Linked DNA regions of Saccharomyces cerevisiae S288C. The gene in region 4 interacts genetically with the main gene of each other region. Each region holds a gene or a part of one and is shown on either strand. Other genes may lie near its edges. The genes, in order: AME1, MIF2, OKP1 and CNN1.

Region 1 (4,850 bases), on a different chromosome or scaffold from region 4:
TAATCGTAATTATTGTAGTTGTAATAGTTGTTGTGCGCCATTTGCTCCATAGAAAAGTTACCATCCTGTTGCTGCTGCTGCTGCTGCTGCTGCTGCTGATGTAAAAAGAGTCGCCTTTTATCTTCCGCATATTGTTCAAGAATTTGTTTGGAGTTATCGACTGAAGAAGCCGCAGATGGCGCTCTCAGGCCATTTGAGGACATATATTGGCTTGCCCCCATGATGGTCGAATTTGTTTTAGCATTTGAACTGGATGGGCGTCCCCATGATAATCTTATTGGACTGCCGCCCACAATAAAGCCTTGCAGGCCTTGTATTGAAGCTTCAGCATCAATCCTCTTCTCGAATTTAACAAACCCACAGTTTTTACCATTGGGAATCCTGACATTTAGAATGGGTCCAAAGGGTTTGAATAGTGAACGTAATTGAAATTCGGTAGTTTTTGGTACCAGTCCTCCCACAAAAACAGTAGTATTAGTGGGGTCTGTATTATAGGTGTTTGAAGGTAGTGAATCATTTACACGCATGTTTGAAATGCCGCCCTCATTCAAATGCATTGGAGGCGCGTTATGCAAGGCATTGAGAGGAAGCATGTTGCTATTGTTTTGAATGAGATTATTTGCAGTCTTAATCAAGAGAGGGCCATTATTATCCTCCTGATCTAGCTGCTGATGCTGTTGCTGCAATTGTTGTTGCTGTTGTTGTTGTTCCTGTAACTGCAGCATCATATTATTTCTTGGCGTGGCATAAGCGACTCTTAAGGCCCTTCCTTGAAACCATTTCCCACTCATCTCAATCAGTGCCCTGCGGCGCTCATCTTCATCACCGAATCTGACAAATCCAAAACAACGAGATGATCCTGTTAAAGGGTCAGTCATCACGCGGACGGTTTTAACAGATTTGAACCTCGTTTGGAAAAGAGATAACAAATCAGCTTCAGTGGCGGTGGGAGAAAGATCACCAACAAACAAGGAAAATTCTGGGGTAGATGGTATAGAACTTTGTAAAGTAGCTCCAGACGCCCAATTCAATCTGAAAGTCCTTTTGAACGTTGGATTAGTTTGGGAGTTAGTTGTTGGGGAATAAAAATTAGGTAAAGGTGTAGCATTTAATGACAGGGCAAATTTAGCGTCCTTTTGAGTTTCAAATTCGACAAAACAGTATCCGGCATGATGTAATTGAGTAGTGGAAGGATCAATGAAGGATATTCCATTAATATTAATCATTTGGGAATTATCTAACTGATCAGTGCTGTTTGATGCAGATTGCTGGTTTTCAGCATTCTCCTCACTTGTGTTGTTATTACTACTTGAGGTGGAGCTACAAGGAATCAACAAATTTTTTTTGGCTCTAATTAGTTTAACGATAACTTTTTTATCCAGTTTTGACCATATCTCCTCAATCGTGGCCTCGTCGAAGGACGGATCCAAATCTCCCATCCATAACGTTCTTGGGGGTTCAGTAGAAGTTTCCACTGTGGATGAAGGAGGCAATGGAATAATATATGGATTTTCCTGTCTTTGGGAGGCGTTAGCAACGTTAGACATCATTTGTGTAAATTTTTCAGGCAAAAATCGATGGCGAAGGATATGAAAAAGCTGTAATATTTAAAAGATCCAATAATAGTAAAAACAATATAAATCAGAACGAAAGGGAAAGAAAAAAGCCTCCTTTATTAATATTGGAACAGGAAGAGAATATCAAAAAATGAACCGGGAAAAAAATGGAATTACAATATATGACAATATAACAGATTCGATCACGAGAAATCAGAATATTTGGAACTAGGATATAACACGCAGATGGTTTTCCGTACAACTATGAAGAGTCAGAGAAAAAAAAAAATAGTGAATAAGAATGGTAATCTCTTTTATTGCTTCTTTGTCGACTGCGTCTATGTATATTGGTTCTAAAGGGAACAGGGTATGATAACCAGATTTAATTACAAATATGCTTATTTTCACTTTTAATGGAGTGTATGAAGGTGCGAAACTGCTTGCTTGACTAAGATTTGGTCTTGAATACAAGTTTGGGGAACGCTTTTTGGAACGGCACTATCGCCCCTTCACAGCCGTTTGAAGCTGGTAGAAAATATTTTATCGTGTTGTACGGAGAAATTTAATGGTGTATCCAAATATTGTTAAAGGACTAGTAGAAATGATAATGATTGATTTCATTAGCTATTATGGCAAGGGTCAACATCGTTGCAGTATAAGAAGCGATTGCTCTCATTTTTTTACGTGTCCTGTGTTGCTCTGTATTGTCTTGACTATTTGCGTGTTCATTTAAAGAAAAACCTCAGTATGGATAGAGACACTAAATTAGCTTTTAGGCTGAGGGGCAGTCATTCAAGAAGGACAGACGATATAGATGATGATGTTATTGTATTTAAGACGCCAAATGCTGTTTATAGAGAGGAGAACTCACCTATTCAATCTCCTGTTCAACCCATTTTGTCTTCACCAAAACTTGCGAATTCTTTCGAGTTTCCTATTACCACTAATAACGTAAATGCGCAGGACCGTCATGAACATGGGTATCAGCCCTTGGATGCAGAAGACTATCCCATGATCGACTCTGAAAATAAAAGTCTTATAAGCGAATCGCCGCAAAATGTTAGAAATGATGAAGACCTTACTACTCGTTACAATTTCGATGATATACCCATTAGACAGCTATCATCGTCTATCACTTCTGTGACCACAATTGATGTTTTATCTTCTTTATTCATAAACTTATTTGAAAATGATTTGATTCCGCAAGCTTTGAAGGATTTCAATAAAAGTGATGATGATCAATTTAGGAAACTATTGTACAAATTAGATCTGCGACTCTTTCAAACGATATCAGACCAAATGACCAGAGACTTGAAAGACATATTAGATATCAACGTGTCGAATAATGAGCTCTGCTACCAACTGAAGCAGGTACTTGCTCGAAAAGAAGATTTGAACCAGCAGATAATATCGGTACGAAATGAAATTCAAGAGTTGAAAGCCGGTAAAGACTGGCATGACTTACAAAATGAACAAGCCAAACTGAACGACAAAGTGAAGCTAAATAAGAGGCTAAATGATTTGACTTCTACTTTGCTAGGCAAATACGAGGGAGATCGCAAAATTATGAGCCAAGATAGCGAGGACGATTCAATACGGGATGACTCAAATATTCTGGATATTGCACATTTCGTAGACTTGATGGATCCATATAACGGACTTCTGAAAAAGATAAATAAAATTAATGAAAATCTTTCTAACGAATTACAACCAAGTCTATAGGGAATTGGTTCAAAAGATGTATATATATATATATATATATATATATGTATGTATATATGTATATATGTATATATGTATTACTTCCATACTAAGGAAGTTGTGTTATAAGGTCATTTTTATGTGGTAGACATACTTCATAGATATGCACAAATCTCTCTTTTTTTTTCCTGTTGTCGCTATTAGCTTATCAAATTTGCATCATTTTCAAGTAACGCTGTGACCATTCTGTAGAAGTAGAAAAAGAATATGAGAAGGTAAAATCCCAATTTTAAAAAGCATTCAATTTTGCATCTACCCAATTTTCTGAAAATATCCGTGGCGTCCAGTAGATGTGTTTTCTTGTAGACTTTACTTGCGTTATATGCTAGAACAGGGACATTCAAGAGAAATACGAACCAGTACCCGTTAAAAAGAAACAATGCAGAAATGAAAGCTTGTAGAATTGCCTCTGGTACACTCAACCTATTCACCCTCTTACACAGTTCGATTGAGTTGATATAGTCTGCTTCAAGATCACCATATAATATAGTAAAGTATATCTGGCAAATGGAATTCAAACAATTCAGTATAAGACCCGTCACGAATAGCGATAATCCGGTTCCTGACATCTTTACTCTTGGCTTCGAACTTCTTGGTGCCTGCAGTTAGTTTTATCTTTAGTAAAAAATGATAATGAAAGTGCTTATATGAATAAAGGTATTAATGTCTTCGTATTTAGCAATGTAATTGAAAAATCATTCGTGGCCCACGACAATATTTCCAAATTATCACAGCTTTCGATAGAAGTGAACGATTTTGAATTAGAGAGAGTAGTAGTGAGCTAGACGTACTGTGTTTTGAGAATTGAAGTTTGTATAGCAAAACTATACTATCATAATGCAACATTCAAGAAAAATAATGGTATAGAAACAAAAAATAACTCCGATACGGGGAGTCGAACCCCGGTCTCCACGGTGAAAGCGTGATGTGATAGCCGTTACACTATATCGGATAATAACTTATGTTTGATTTAACCTTAAAGATTTTCTATGTCAAGTTTAAACTGGAGGGCTTTCTATTGCCGAACAATCCTAGCTAAAGGCTTTTTTCCCTATTTACAGAAGAAAATGTAATGACTGAAGATTTTGAAAGGTCTCGTTTGATGGCTAGCAGGCTACACCTAGAATTACCCAATTCCAAAGGTTGGTCATCATAGGAAAACAACCAGCATGAACCTTACCCTAGTTCTCTTGCTACTATTTCACATCATCAGGTGATGTCAACTCAGCTTATTGTCAGTGACGACGGATTAGCATTGATACCTGATGTCATTTTAACACGTGTGTTGGATGGGATCCTATACACACCCAAAGAAGATGATTTTTACAACGACACCACCACCATGTATTATGTTTTTGCCACCTGGGGTGATCAAAGTTGGTCATCCTTCGGTTATGATAATACAGCAAGCCTGCAAGAGCACGAAAGATATGTTTTCTAACTTCTTGCCGAGCAGGGAATATTGGGGATTTGGACCGTTGGAATAAATGGGTCCTCAATATTGACAGGAGTCGGTTTTGGAATGAGAATTAA
Region 2 (5,400 bases), on a different chromosome or scaffold from region 4:
AGGAATACGTATGAAATATAAATCAACAAACATACGTACTGAATTATGTATCAGGATATATTGCTTTCACAGTTTGGAAATTGCCTCTATCACCAAGATATTCACTGTTAAAAAAAAAAATGCGAAAAAATTCAAATTTCAACAGCGATATTCGCCTTCAGTATATCAATATAAAGCAATTATGACACCTCATTTATCGTGCATATAAGATCATGCAATGAGTATGGATAACAATGATGACCATGAATCTAAATTGTCAATCTTGATGGACATGTTTCCAGCTATTTCCAAATCCAAATTACAAGTACATTTACTTGAAAACAATAATGATTTGGATTTAACGATAGGCTTGCTGTTAAAAGAAAACGACGATAAGTCTACAGTTGATAATGAATTACATCAACTGTACGACATGTTTCCTCAGCTTGATTGCAGCGTTATAAAAGATCAGTTTGTAATAAATGAGAAGTCCGTAGAATCGACTATTTCTGATCTTCTGAATTATGAAACCCTGCAAAAACTTAAAGACAATCAAGCAAATTCTCCTGATAGCGTAAAAAGGAACGAAAAGAAAAATAATTGGGAATCAACAAACGATCACATAGAGAGTATAATAAAGTTTACCGACGCTCCCAAAAATATTGCGCAGGAATACTTAGCCGAAAATGGTTTTGATACAGTAAAGGCGATCATCAAAATCATTTTGGATTATTACGACAAAAGGGATTTTAAAAAAGATGTGGATACTTTCAAAGTAAAACGGAGTCCTAATACGACTGTGAGAGGTGGTCGAGTTCAATCATCGACGGGGCTTGCCCACGTTTTGAAAAAGGGTAAAGAATCCGCAAATGTTGCTCAAGAGAGTCTCAAAAGGCCAAGGAGTTATAAGCACTCCTTGGATAGTCCGCAGATGGTTGAGTTAAATGAATTAGTTGCAGATAATCGCGATCTCAAAGCCATAAACCATGAATTTTTGCAAAAATGCCTGCAATTTTATGATGGAGATGTTGTAAAGGTGTTGAACATATCGTCCTTATTGATCGAAGATGACAAGAATATTACGAAAACTTGGAACTTTGACGAAGGTTTTACCTTGACATCCAGAGATAATTGTAAGCAACATTTACCCAAATTTTCAACACCGCAGATTTCCCGCAGAAATGAGGTAGGAAATACTTATAAATTGCCCCTTCATGACAAAGAAACCCCCGAGGGAGCTGTGCCGGTTATAAATAACCTGTTTCAAACATACAGATTGGATTTCCATGGTTTTCTTCCCAGTGAAGCGGTTTCAACACTGAAACTTGCATTAAATAAGTGGTGGTCCAAAGAGGTAGCAGAACGAGAGTTGAACTCCCACAACATAAACTCATATGGCTCAAAAGTACAGTTTGTAAGCCCGTTAATCGTGGTAACTGGTAGAGGTATCCACAGCATCGGCGGGATCTCAAAGGTTCGACTGCAGGTTAAAAGTTTTCTTGAAAAAAATCACTACATATTTTGGGAAGAATCTTCCTACTTCAGAATTGAGGGTAAGAAGAAGAAATAAAACCTATCTGATTTTTCTATAAAGGTTATAAACGCTAGGCTTCTTTAAACTGCATTGGGTTTTTTCTCAATTTCGAGAAAAATAATATAACGCGTTAGAAATGGTGATGTAAATAAATGAATGTTAGAAAAATACATACGTTAAACAAATAAGTTAGACATTAGCACAGGACAGCACTTCACTCATGGATTATATGAAATTGGGGCTTAAGTCCCGTAAAACTGGTATTGATGTTAAGCAAGATATACCCAAAGATGAATACAGCATGGAAAATATTGATGATTTTTTCAAAGATGATGAAACTAGTCTTATCAGTATGAGAAGGAAAAGCAGAAGAAAATCATCGCTTTTCTTACCATCAACGTTAAATGGCGATACTAAGAACGTATTACCGCCATTTCTACAGTCATATAAATCTCAAGATGATGAAGTTGTCCAAAGCCCATCTGGGAAAGGCGATGGATCAAGACGATCATCTTTGTTAAGCCATCAATCAAACTTCCTGAGTCCAGCCAATGATTTCGAGCCTATTGAGGAAGAACCAGAACAAGAAGAAAATGATATCAGAGGCAATGATTTTGCCACACCAATCACACAGAAATTGAGTAAACCTACATATAAAAGAAAGTACTCCACTCGGTATAGCCTTGACACTTCAGAAAGCCCTTCTGTAAGGTTGACACCTGATAGAATCACTAATAAGAATGTTTATTCAGATGTACCTGATTTGGTTGCTGATGAGGATGACGATGATAGAGTAAACACTTCTTTAAACACATCTGATAACGCATTATTAGAAGACGAATTAGAAGATGACGGGTTTATACCTGAAAGTGAAGAGGACGGTGATTACATTGAAAGTGACTCATCTTTGGATTCAGGCTCGGATTCAGCCAGTGATTCAGATGGAGATAACACCTATCAAGAAGTAGAAGAGGAGGCTGAGGTGAACACAAATGACAATGAAGATGATTATATAAGACGACAAGCGAGTGATGTGGTTCGTACAGATTCAATAATTGATAGAAACGGGCTTCGGAAATCTACAAGAGTCAAGGTGGCGCCTTTGCAGTATTGGAGGAACGAAAAAATAGTATATAAGAGGAAGTCCAATAAACCCGTTCTTGACATAGACAAAATTGTCACATATGATGAATCTGAAGACGAAGAGGAGATATTGGCAGCACAAAGAAGGAAGAAACAAAAAAAAAAACCTACACCAACCAGACCTTACAACTACGTACCTACGGGGAGACCAAGAGGAAGGCCAAAGAAGGATCCAAATGCAAAGGAAAATTTGATTCCAGAAGATCCCAACGAGGATATTATAGAAAGGATAGAATCTGGAGGCATAGAAAATGGCGAGTGGCTGAAACATGGAATACTGGAAGCTAATGTGAAAATTAGCGACACTAAGGAGGAAACTAAGGATGAAATTATTGCATTCGCGCCCAATTTGTCGCAAACTGAACAAGTAAAAGACACGAAGGACGAGAATTTTGCCCTTGAGATAATGTTCGATAAGCATAAAGAATATTTTGCTAGCGGCATATTAAAACTACCAGCTATTTCTGGACAAAAGAAATTAAGCAACTCATTTAGGACATATATTACGTTCCACGTGATACAGGGAATAGTCGAAGTAACTGTATGTAAGAACAAGTTCTTGAGCGTTAAAGGTTCCACTTTCCAAATACCGGCATTCAACGAGTACGCGATTGCCAATAGAGGGAATGATGAAGCCAAAATGTTCTTCGTTCAAGTGACCGTTTCAGAAGACGCTAACGATGACAACGACAAAGAATTAGACAGTACGTTTGACACTTTTGGGTAATTATGATGTGAATATTCTCATTATGCATGCTATGTACTGAAGAAATATAACTAGGTCCATACGCTTATACTGTTAAACATGTGAACTTTTCTGTAAGAAAATGAATCACGTAAAATTTCGCACCGAACTTTCGTAGATGAGAGAACAAAAAGCAGAAAAAGAGAAAGAACAGTAAAGTAACACTTAGTTAGCATATTTAAATAAAAGTCTAAAGGACCAGCAAAGAGTTATTAGGTGTGATGACGGATGAAAAAGTGAACTCAGATCAGAATATGAACGGTAAGCAGGGAGTTAACTTAATTTCATCCTTGCCTACAACACAAGTGCCGGTTTCAATTTTGACCAACAAGGAGAGAAGAAAAAGTATTCACGATGAATCAAATTTCGAAAGATCTGATAGTCATGAAGATCAATCAAAATCCAACTCTAATAGGAGGAATATTTACAAAAACGATTATAGCACAAATTTGAGGGATTTCTCTTTTGCCAATCTGAAGCAAAATAGTGAAAGGAACAAAGATGGCCATGAAATACAGATCAACACCAGTATGCCAGCTAATACAAATGGCCAGCAAAAAAGGTTTTCACCTTCATTACCTTCTGCTGTTTCATTTACGGTGCCCGAGGTGGAAAGGTTGCCGTATCATAGATATTCGATATCCAATAAACCTGGAAAGCAGCAGCAGCAGCAGGAACAACTGCAGCAAAATCAACAACAAGAAGAGCAGCAAAAGGCACAACTGCAGGAGCAAAATCAACGAGCAAAACAGCAAGAAGAGGTGAAGCAAATTCAGGAGCAAGTGCAAAAAAAGCAAACTGAAAGACAGCAACTGATAGACGAAAAGGAGAGGATAGCGAATGCAATATTTAAGGAGAACACTACTAATGATGGTACTGATATCAGGAAACATTCGGTATCGAGTGGTACGAGCAATAGCGAAGATGAAGTAGATTCACCTTCGATGGAAAAAAATTCTATCGTTCATATGCCAGGTGATTTTATCTACTTCAATCCCAAGTCAAACGCTTCTAAACCTATCACTGCAAAGGCGGCGCCATTATCGGCTAATAACTCCACACATAAAAACAAGGAAGTTATCACTGCACCCACAGGGCCTCGTGTACCCTTCACAGAGTTCTTTCAGAAGGAAGACGACAAGAAATTCCACATTCTCATTGGTGCGACGGGCTCAGTTGCCACAATAAAAGTACCTCTAATTATTGATAAACTTTTCAAGATATATGGGCCTGAGAAAATCTCTATTCAGTTGATTGTCACAAAACCCGCTGAGCATTTTTTGAAAGGGCTCAAAATGTCAACACACGTTAAAATTTGGAGGGAGGAAGACGCTTGGGTATTCGACGCTGTGAATAAGAATGATACTAGCTTGAGTCTGAACTTGATATTGCACCATGAATTAAGAAAATGGGCTGATATTTTCCTGATTGCGCCTTTGTCAGCTAACACACTTGCTAAACTGGCCAATGGTATATGTAACAATTTGCTAACTTCTGTGATGAGAGATTGGTCACCACTGACCCCAGTGTTGATTGCGCCTGCAATGAATACATTCATGTATATCAATCCTATGACAAAGAAACACCTGACGAGTTTAGTGCAAGACTATCCGTTCATCCAAGTTTTGAAACCGGTGGAAAAGGTATTAATATGCGGAGATATTGGTATGGGTGGTATGAGAGAATGGACAGATATTGTAGAGATCGTTAGGAGGAGAATCAATGAAATACGGAAAGCTAGGGACGAGGAAACTGGTGATAAAGAGCAAGAACAAGAAGAACAAGAGGGTGCTGACAATGAGGACGACGATGATGAGGATGACGAAGAGGATGAGGAGGACGAGGAGGAGGAAGAAGCTCTAAATGAAACAGCATCCGATGAGAGCAATGACGAGGAAGACGAAGAGGATGAGGAAGACGTGAAAACCGAAGTTTAAATGCATTAGAAAAGAGTATTTTGTGTTATGTTTTATGTTTTATTTTTTTTTTTTTTGTTTAT
Region 3 (5,118 bases), on a different chromosome or scaffold from region 4:
ACCCATTTTCTTGATTAAATAAGCTCAAACTGTTGTTGGAGAGAAAAGATTGATTGGTTTGAACTGACAGATATCCTACTTGAATCCTCTTTTTGTCGATTTTATAAATCTTAGGACCTAGGATTTTTTTACTCTTCGGCAACGCCAGGAAAACTAAGATACACCGGAAACAAGAGGAAGGAGATCAAGAATTAGCGTTGGCTAGTAATGTGACTAAAGGGGAAAGACATTGCTCTTTATTCGCTTATATTTTATTTGTTGTATTGATATGATCTCTTTCTGAATCTGTAGCGACCTGTCAAATCGTCAAGGGTATGGTTTAATGAGGAAGTGAAACCATAGCGCTAGCGCCAGTTCCAGGTTTGATACATAGCAAATCTATCATATGTACTCATAAATGCCATTTCAGAACTCATTTAGCAGTTTTGTTTTAGCTTGAACGTTATCAGAATTCTTGCGGGTAATACACCGGTGCAAAGTCCATTATCGACGGGAGAGATAACAGATGCAGGCTCCAAGAAAAGTGGTCATGGCTTTTATCACCAGGACAAACTAGCAAGGACAAACATTTTATTCGGATGATTGGATTTAACGGCTGGGCGAGTGGGTGATACCGCGGTGTTACCATCCTCTCGGTTACAACGTCACGTCTTTTTCTGTTTAACCCTTTTGTACTAACAAGGAATAAATTATATTCAATGAATTATGAACAGTCAAATGCGTATATATTGGCGCTCCACCTTTATTGTATATCAGATGAGGTAACATTACTTGTACCGCGCTCGCTTTCAACAAATAAGTGGTTGTTTGGCCGAGCGGTCTAAGGCGCCTGATTCAAGAAATATCTTGACCGCAGTTAACTGTGGGAATACTCAGGTATCGTAAGATGCAAGAGTTCGAATCTCTTAGCAACCAATAATTTTTTTTTCAATAATTAAGTACCAATTTCCTGCTAATGGGCAGGCCCACCTTTATTTCTTTTTTTTTCCATTAGAACGAGCATTTCAGGCAAGAAAGGGAACCGGCGAAGACGGGAAAGTGTACTTTTCACGAAACAAAGAAAATGAAGTACGCGTCTAGACTATTCCCATAATGTTTACGTTTCACAGAAATTGAGGAATCTGGAGATAAGGCAACGAGGACCACCTGAGTGTCGCCACTAGTACCTTGCTATACGAATATCCTGTGTGTGAGTGTTTACGCGTCTATGTGATTTCGCTTCCAGAGTGGTTGCCATGGCAAACTATTCAACCCGCTCTTTTTCTATCCAAAACCAACAACAGAACATGAGCAAGCCCCACTCCACTGAATATCTGGAGCGCCTCCACCGCTTGTGTGGTCTGCCCCCTTCTGCGAGGTCGCCTCTGAGCTTAATAAGCACCGTGCGCCTACCTTCGTTTCCCTTTTTGAGGGTACCCGCCCATACACCGCACCAATGGAACTAGCAGGTACGACCACCCAACACCAAGCACCGGAAACCGGACAGTGCAAGTTCTAGCACACTGAAAGCGGCGCACGAGAACGCGCTTTTCAGCGTGCGAGAACCACGTTTTGGCAGTTATTGTTCACCACAGCGTCTCTTGCCTTCCCGATGGGCGTTGTTGTGGCAACACCATCCTCTTTGCTTACTGTAATCGGTAGACGACGTCCGTTCCTTCCTTGGTCTCATGAAGCTCTGGCGTATAAAAACGGCGATTGAATCTTCAATGTTCCTAAAGTTTCATTCCTTATCTCTCATTTTCTTCATTTTTTGTCTCTTGGCTTTTCGATCAAAAAAAGACTATCAATAGATACATTGGTTTCTGACCCCACCTCTGTCCCCTTACACTATCAAATTTCACTTTTTTACTTTTTTTTTTTTTGCAAAAGGCCTTGTCTCGAAACAGAAAGAAAAAAAATTCATTTAAAAAGGGAAATAAAAAATTGCTAATACAAAAACAGATCTTTTTGAGCCACACAACCCCGCGCAACGCACACAATTAGTTATTACAATGGAAGCACATAACCAATTTTTGAAGACTTTCCAAAAAGAACGTCATGATATGAAAGAAGCTGAAAAGGATGAAATCCTTTTGATGGAAAACAGCCGTAGATTCGTGATGTTCCCTATCAAATACCACGAAATCTGGGCTGCTTACAAGAAGGTTGAAGCCTCTTTCTGGACTGCGGAAGAAATCGAATTGGCTAAGGACACTGAAGATTTCCAAAAATTGACTGATGACCAGAAGACCTACATCGGTAACTTGTTAGCCTTGTCCATTTCTTCTGACAACCTTGTCAACAAGTACTTGATCGAAAACTTTTCTGCCCAATTGCAAAACCCTGAAGGTAAGAGTTTCTACGGGTTCCAGATTATGATGGAAAACATCTACTCTGAAGTTTACTCCATGATGGTTGATGCCTTCTTCAAGGACCCTAAGAACATCCCTCTATTCAAGGAAATTGCCAATTTGCCTGAAGTCAAGCATAAGGCTGCTTTCATCGAGAGATGGATTTCCAACGATGACAGCTTGTATGCTGAAAGACTAGTAGCATTTGCTGCAAAGGAAGGTATTTTCCAAGCTGGTAACTATGCTTCTATGTTCTGGTTGACTGACAAAAAGATTATGCCAGGTTTAGCAATGGCCAACAGAAACATCTGTAGAGACAGAGGTGCCTACACTGACTTTTCATGCTTGCTATTTGCCCATTTGAGAACCAAGCCAAACCCCAAGATCATTGAAAAAATCATTACCGAAGCCGTGGAAATTGAAAAGGAATACTACTCAAACTCTTTGCCAGTAGAAAAATTTGGTATGGATTTGAAGAGCATTCACACCTACATAGAATTTGTCGCTGACGGTCTATTACAAGGTTTCGGTAACGAAAAATACTACAACGCCGTCAACCCATTCGAATTCATGGAGGATGTCGCTACCGCTGGTAAGACCACCTTCTTTGAAAAGAAGGTTTCCGACTACCAAAAGGCCAGTGACATGTCTAAGTCCGCTACCCCATCCAAGGAAATTAACTTTGATGATGACTTCTAAGTCAACGACGGGGTGCGTTCTTTTATTCTTGGCCACTTTTATTTATATATATTTATATATACCTAGGTACAGTATAACTAAACTTAAGTAGAAAAATTTAAAAAGAAACTACAGTTTTTTTTTATATTTATTATGACAATATTTGCCATTTTCTTGTAGGTAGATAAGGGAAAGATTCAGAGAGTACCATCATCCCGGTCATTTCATTTAAATAACATATTTTTGTTACCCGGAGAGTCACAATACGGTCCACCCATTTGTTTACTACCTCGAAGTTAATACAGATAGAGGTACATAGCAACAATGGATGAGGTAACTTGCACCCTATGGACGAATAATTCAAGCGATACTAGTGCTACGTATACTGTATGGCAGCTGATAGAGATAATTTTTTACAAAATATTGAAAATGATTCAATTAACAATGGCCAGGCCATGGATCTGTCACCCAACCGAAGTTCCTCTGAAAGCGATAGCAGCATTCTCATGAATGTGAATGATATTAAAACTTTACGTCTGGACGTAGCACCAGAAGCTAAAAGCACCCAATCAAAGAAGTCGCTTTTTTATGAGAACTCTGATGATGCTGAAGAAGGAGAAATAGAAGAGCGCACGAACAAAGAAGAAGGACAATACCATCATAAAGGATCTAAACAACTTCGATTTGAGGTTGGCAAGGAAAGTACAGGTAAATTGCAATCTCATCTATCGGATGGAAGCGCAACAAGTGGAGAGGGCAATGTACGACCTTGGGAATTCAGGAAGGTAATACAAGCTGAGTATAGAGAAAGGTTGCCGCGCAATTATGAATTAAAGCATTGGAAAAAGCCTTCTAAAATAATGATAGGATCCATACTTCGTTTATTAGAGACTAACACTGTAAGCGCTCTTGATTCTGTCTTTGAGAAGTACGAAAAGGAAATGAACCAAATGACGCATGGCGATAATAATGAGGTTAAAAGAATATATTCTAAGAAGGAACGTTTGCTTGAAATAATCCTCACAAAGATAAAGAAGAAGCTAAGACAGGCCAAATTTCCCTCTAGGATATCGGAAAGAGATCTAGACATCGAGTATATTTATTCTAAGCGACAATTTATTCAAAACCGGTATTCACAAGAACTACAAAATAATGAGAGATTGGAAGCAATTCTTTCACGTGAACAAAACCTTTTGGAGGAAACTAGGAAGTTGTGCATGAATTTAAAAACAAACAACAAGAAACGACTCACTGAGAAGCTAATACAAAAAGATCTGCATCCAGTACTTAACAAAGCAATGGAATATACATATGGCTTAGAATCTACTAATGGATTTATGCATCCTGATGGCCCAGTAACTTTTAGAAATGATAGCCACGAATTGAACCTGATGTTGAACGACCCCATAAAAAGTACAGCCGATGTGAGGCTTGATAAGGAGGAAGTACTGTCGTTGTTACCTTCTTTGAAAGAATATACGAAGAAATCAAAGGAACTTAAGGAAACAATGGGTCAAATGATTTCGGATTCACATGAAGAAGAAATCAAAGAGGTTTTTGTACCGCACCATGAGTCGCACCAAGATAAGACCGAAGAAGATATACACTAGCGATAATCCATTGTTTCAGAGTTTACGATTACGATGCATATAACTAAATATTTGATATATAATCATGCACTATTAGCATCCGGGTTACGTAACTTCTCCGCCAACGAGCCTCAGAAAACCTTGGAGAGCCACAACAAATTATGAAAAACTGGAAAAAAAAAAAAATAAAGAAGGAAGGAAAGCTCAATTGGGAGGCACTTTCTTTACTTGAGATTTGCGTTTTTGTAAAGCAGTTCTTAAATCGGCATCTCTCATCGCATAGATCTTTAAGGAAGATATAGGTCATTCACTCGCGTTTTCTTCTATCTTTCTTTTTGTTCTTTCCAGAAGACGTTTCGATTATTTCCGAATTGATCTTGAAGGGGAAGCAATAATTAAATCTTTGAAAATTGATTTGATATAAAAACTGACATCCTCAGTCACGGAAGTAATTAAAGGAGTTCATTACATTGAAACAATATGAAGGGAAACTTTAGGAAAAGAGATAGCTCCACCAACTC
Region 4 (5,063 bases):
AATTGTGGTTCCATAGGATTAAAAGAGTCTTGCTGACCAACTGGATTTGGTAGATGATCGGGAACTGTTGTGGTGTCTTGATTAGCGTTATTGTTATTTCCACTGGTTTCTAGTTCGTAATTATTATTTGCATCTTCCACAGTTTCCACACCTGAGTAATATTCATAATGATGATCTCTCTGTTCGCTTGTATCAATTAAATTATCAATTAATGTCTTTCCACCCATTGTTTTCTTAGATAAATTTGATTTGATTCTAAAACCGCCTTTACCTGGTAGAAGTGGCAAAGTATACGCAACGTATAGACACTCATCATACAATCTTGGTGAAACCTCATGAGTTTCCTGCAGAAACTTATACAATTGGTTGAGATTGAAGCCATCAGCAACATTATATGCGGTGATTCTTGCCATGGACTTTTCTTTTGAGTATCGAGGTAGCCGATCGAAGGAATTAGACTTCATAGAGCCCACTTTCGGTCTTTGCCTATCCAGCGCGTTCGTTGGTAGAGTTTGAAAGTGGTTCAAGTTGTCGTCTTCCGGTATCAACACTAACTTTTGTGACGTCTTCGATGTTCTTGGAGGCAGGGGATTGATCATCTTTCTACGCGAACTTAACCGCTCATATTGGCGAGGCCTATCGCTTGAAGAGCTGGATAGCCTTTCCTCTCTTCTGGCAGAGGGAATATCTGAATTATCAGAAAGAATATTATCTATGGATATATCGCTAAACCTGCCAGACGATCGCCTTCTTGGATGAGTAAAACTCTGCAGCGGAGAAGGGCCAATAGCGGAAGAGCGAACTCCTTGAGACTTCGTAACTCCTGCGTTTTCCATATTCTTCCTACTACCAGCAGCGTGTCCAGCGAACGGTGCACTCATTCTATTCTTGGATGTTCTTGCATCTGTCACCAGGATGGAAGGTGACCTTTTCGGCATCTCCCCAGGAGATGGTTGGTTAGCCTTATAACTCATACTGTCGTCTTAAATGGAAGTCCTTTCCTTTGCTCCATATGCAATTTTGCATACGAACTTCCGATTGATATAATCTTGTATTAATGTATGCCTAACCTGGTTTTGTTTTTCTTGTAGGTTTTTCTAGCCAGTTTTACTATAAATTGTCACTTTTTCCTAGTAGTCAATTTGAAAAAAAAAAAAATATATGGGTAATTATAATAACAAGAAGTGTTCTTCTGATTGTCGGAGATGCCTCTAATGCCAATGCACAGGCTTCCATAAAGTTTTCAAGCATGACAGAAAGCTAACTTGTCTTTTACTTCTTTGTTGGGCACACTTCTCATTTTTAAAAAAAAGATTTCCACCTTCACGATCATATCTGAAATGAACTGAATATTTTGTTCTTGTGAGAATAAACTTGTCTACTAATCGCAAATTTTTCAAGATTAACCTTCCGCACCCATTGAGGTACTAAACTGATCTACCCTACCTTTCCTAAATACCTAATGTCAGGTACATAATGCCAGCGACAGCTCAAAATCACGGGATACTAATTATTAAATAGTAGTAGCTTCTTCTCCACGCACAGTTCGATCGAAGGAGCTAATATTCGGCTTGTCATCTTCCATGGCCAGTAATTTTTTTTATTGTCATTTGGGACTAATGAGATGGAAACTAGAATTGTAGTTATACATCCTGAGGTTTCTATCAACTTGTGTGTCACAACGTTTTATATACTTGAATGCGTAGTAGCAAACCCCGGCAAGACGTAAGTTAACTTGTCAAAGGTACAAGCTTGGTTACAAACAATGTGATATTTCGCTCCAGGATATTTTTGCTTTTGGTGACGCCGGTTGGTTGAAGAGCCCCCATTTATCATGACTCCTACCGCAGTTTTCGTATATCTTGGGCCATAAATTCGAAAATTAAAGACACCACTTAATAACGCAACAAAAAGAACGCAATCCTCAGAAAGAACACACACCAAAAAAAAAAAATGCCTGTTTATGAACACTTATTGCCCGTTAATGGAGCATGGAGACAAGACGTCACCAATTGGCTGAGCGAGGACGTTCCTTCTTTTGATTTTGGTGGATATGTTGTTGGTTCCGACCTAAAGGAGGCCAATTTGTACTGTAAGCAGGATGGTATGCTGTGTGGTGTCCCCTTTGCGCAAGAAGTCTTTAATCAGTGCGAATTGCAAGTTGAGTGGTTGTTTAAGGAAGGCTCCTTCTTGGAGCCTTCGAAGAATGACTCTGGTAAGATTGTTGTAGCTAAAATTACTGGGCCCGCTAAAAACATTCTATTAGCTGAAAGAACCGCCTTGAACATCCTTAGTAGAAGTAGTGGAATTGCCACCGCCTCACATAAGATAATCAGTTTGGCGCGTTCGACTGGTTACAAGGGGACCATTGCGGGGACAAGAAAGACTACACCAGGTTTACGTAGATTAGAAAAGTATTCCATGCTTGTAGGTGGCTGCGACACGCACAGATACGACCTTTCCTCTATGGTCATGCTCAAAGATAATCATATTTGGGCTACTGGTTCTATAACAAACGCAGTTAAGAACGCCAGGGCCGTGTGCGGGTTTGCTGTGAAGATCGAAGTGGAGTGTTTGAGTGAAGATGAAGCCACAGAGGCCATTGAAGCTGGTGCAGACGTTATCATGTTGGATAATTTCAAAGGTGACGGTTTGAAAATGTGCGCCCAAAGTCTTAAGAACAAATGGAATGGTAAAAAGCATTTCCTCTTGGAATGTAGTGGAGGCTTGAATTTGGACAACCTCGAGGAGTATTTGTGCGATGACATTGACATTTACAGCACTAGTAGCATTCATCAAGGCACACCAGTGATTGATTTCTCATTGAAACTGGCTCATTGAAAATGCTTAGGCTTCGATTTTTACTTTTTTTTATTTACATATTCTAAATAAGATTAAGAAGCTACGCGTTACCGATTAATGACACACACGACGATTAGTAACGAAATAAGAAATGAATAATGAGCACTCCCAGGAAGGCCGCCGGTAACAACGAGAATACAGAAGTCTCAGAGATCAGAACCCCCTTTCGGGAGAGAGCCCTTGAAGAACAACGTCTCAAGGATGAGGTACTGATCAGAAATACGCCAGGTTATAGAAAACTTTTATCTGCTTCTACTAAGTCTCATGACATCCTCAATAAAGATCCGAACGAAGTACGAAGTTTTTTACAAGACTTAAGCCAAGTGTTAGCACGCAAATCACAAGGCAACGATACAACTACTAATAAAACTCAAGCACGGAATCTAATAGATGAATTAGCGTACGAAGAGAGCCAACCAGAGGAGAATGAGCTTCTTCGGAGCAGAAGTGAGAAACTGACAGATAACAACATTGGCAATGAAACGCAACCTGATTATACTTCCTTATCGCAAACAGTATTTGCAAAATTGCAGGAAAGAGACAAAGGCTTGAAAAGTAGGAAGATTGACCCGATAATAATACAAGATGTTCCCACGACAGGACACGAGGATGAATTGACAGTGCACTCTCCAGATAAAGCTAACAGTATCTCTATGGAAGTTTTGCGCACGTCGCCAAGCATTGGAATGGATCAGGTAGATGAACCGCCAGTACGTGATCCGGTACCAATTTCCATAACGCAACAGGAAGAACCACTATCTGAAGATTTACCAAGCGACGATAAAGAGGAGACAGAAGAAGCAGAAAACGAAGATTATTCGTTTGAAAACACCAGTGACGAAAATTTGGATGATATAGGCAACGATCCTATCCGTTTAAATGTCCCTGCGGTGAGACGTTCTTCTATAAAACCGCTGCAAATAATGGATCTAAAACATCTTACAAGGCAATTTTTGAATGAGAATAGGATAATATTGCCGAAACAAACGTGGTCTACTATACAGGAGGAATCTTTAAATATAATGGATTTCTTGAAACAAAAAATCGGCACGTTACAAAAACAGGAATTGGTAGATTCGTTTATCGATATGGGTATTATCAATAACGTTGATGATATGTTTGAGCTCGCGCACGAATTGCTTCCCTTAGAACTTCAATCAAGAATTGAAAGTTATTTGTTCTAAAAAAGATACCGTAGAGAAAATAATTAAATAGTGGCAATTTATGTACAGAAAAGAGTAAAAGATCCACAAAATTATCAAGACCTGGAAGAGAAGCCTAGTAACAAACTAACCTGTTCATAAACAGTGAACGTTAAGCCTCCTGAAATACCGACTTTCATAAACCTAAAGATGGAGCCCTTCCAGAATGTGGCCATGCCTTCTTGAACAAATATTCTATACATGCAATTTAAGGTATTTTTATATTCAGTTTTGGCATTTTGACTCATCATCCTTGTTTTTACGACGTCAATGGGCTGAGTCATTGCCACGAGTGTAAAAGATGTGGCTAACCCCGTTATTACTGAGGATGCCTTGTCGTTTCTTGCTTGTAACAACCGTTTAAATGCTGTGTATGCAGTAAATTGAATAGAGGTGTTAGCTATCTGCCTAAATATGGTGGCTGTTGTTCCCTGGACGAACGCAGCAGGGCCTCTTGTTTGATACATGTGTTTTACCGCTGGAAGTAGTTTCTCGATACGAGCCACAGGAGTAGATTTAGTCGCCACCTTGTGAAAGGTTGCCTTTGCGTTAACTACAGGTTGATTCTTCTCTAATTTTTTATGATCGATCATCGCCGATTGGATAAGGGTGGTTTTTATGTTTTCAAAAGGGATAATAAACAAACTTTCTACTATTCCTGTCAACGTACCAGCGATCAAAAGGTTATAACCAGTCAGTCTTTGAAAATTATCATTATTATCAATGTTATTATTCAGGGAGTGGCATAACTTGTCGAACGTAACGAACCTTAAAATAGTCTTACCAAATGCGGCCACGTTTAGGGCAGAGCAGCCAACAAAGTACGACTTAATCTGAGGTAAAATGATTTCGAAAGCGGTACCCTTCGGTTGCAATTGTAAACCAGTCTTTAAGTACTCAAATGGGTATGTCATTGTCGTTTGAAACACAGCAGCTACACTGCCGGCAGTGATTTGCTTGTAAAGGTCAGAGTTCTGCAAACGAGAAAAAAGAGAGCGT

The links.
Region 1: mutations in CNN1 (region 4) and AME1 together harm fitness more than expected from each alone (negative genetic interaction), as found in Saccharomyces cerevisiae (3 studies listed by BioGRID, with this or other methods).
Region 2: mutations in CNN1 (region 4) and MIF2 impair growth when combined (synthetic growth defect), as found in Saccharomyces cerevisiae (4 studies listed by BioGRID, with this or other methods).
Region 3: mutations in CNN1 (region 4) and OKP1 impair growth when combined (synthetic growth defect), as found in Saccharomyces cerevisiae (3 studies listed by BioGRID, with this or other methods).

Annotation. Positions count from the first base shown.
Region 1 is NC_001134.8:644,586-649,435, reverse strand, and holds AME1 (Ame1p), read left to right. Parts: upstream 1-2,303; coding exon 2,304-3,278; downstream 3,279-4,850. Other genes in the region: NGR1 (Ngr1p), read right to left, coding at 1-1,550; ERV15 (Erv15p), read right to left, coding at 3,458-3,886.
Region 2 is NC_001143.9:271,661-277,060, forward strand, and holds MIF2 (Mif2p), read left to right. Parts: upstream 1-1,733; coding exon 1,734-3,383; downstream 3,384-5,400. Other genes in the region: CUE2 (Cue2p), read left to right, coding at 218-1,549; phosphopantothenoylcysteine decarboxylase complex subunit CAB3, read left to right, coding at 3,623-5,338. UniProt on the Saccharomyces cerevisiae protein: Component of the kinetochore, a multiprotein complex that assembles on centromeric DNA and attaches chromosomes to spindle microtubules, mediating chromosome segregation and sister chromatid segregation during meiosis and mitosis.
Region 3 is NC_001139.9:853,175-858,292, reverse strand, and holds OKP1 (Okp1p), read left to right. Parts: upstream 1-3,397; coding exon 3,398-4,618; downstream 4,619-5,118. Other genes in the region: protein translocase subunit TIM13, read right to left, coding at 1-6; ribonucleotide-diphosphate reductase subunit RNR4, read left to right, coding at 1,992-3,029; PBP1 (Pbp1p), read left to right, coding at 5,078-5,118. UniProt on the Saccharomyces cerevisiae protein: Component of the kinetochore, a multiprotein complex that assembles on centromeric DNA and attaches chromosomes to spindle microtubules, mediating chromosome segregation and sister chromatid segregation during meiosis and mitosis.
Region 4 is NC_001138.5:242,057-247,119, reverse strand, and holds CNN1 (centromere-binding protein CNN1), read left to right. Parts: upstream 1-2,960; coding exon 2,961-4,046; downstream 4,047-5,063. Other genes in the region: RMD8 (Rmd8p), read right to left, coding at 1-974; BNA6 (nicotinate-nucleotide diphosphorylase (carboxylating)), read left to right, coding at 1,954-2,841; MRX20 (Mrx20p), read right to left, coding at 4,121-5,038. UniProt on the Saccharomyces cerevisiae protein: Component of the kinetochore, a multiprotein complex that assembles on centromeric DNA and attaches chromosomes to spindle microtubules, mediating chromosome segregation and sister chromatid segregation during meiosis and mitosis.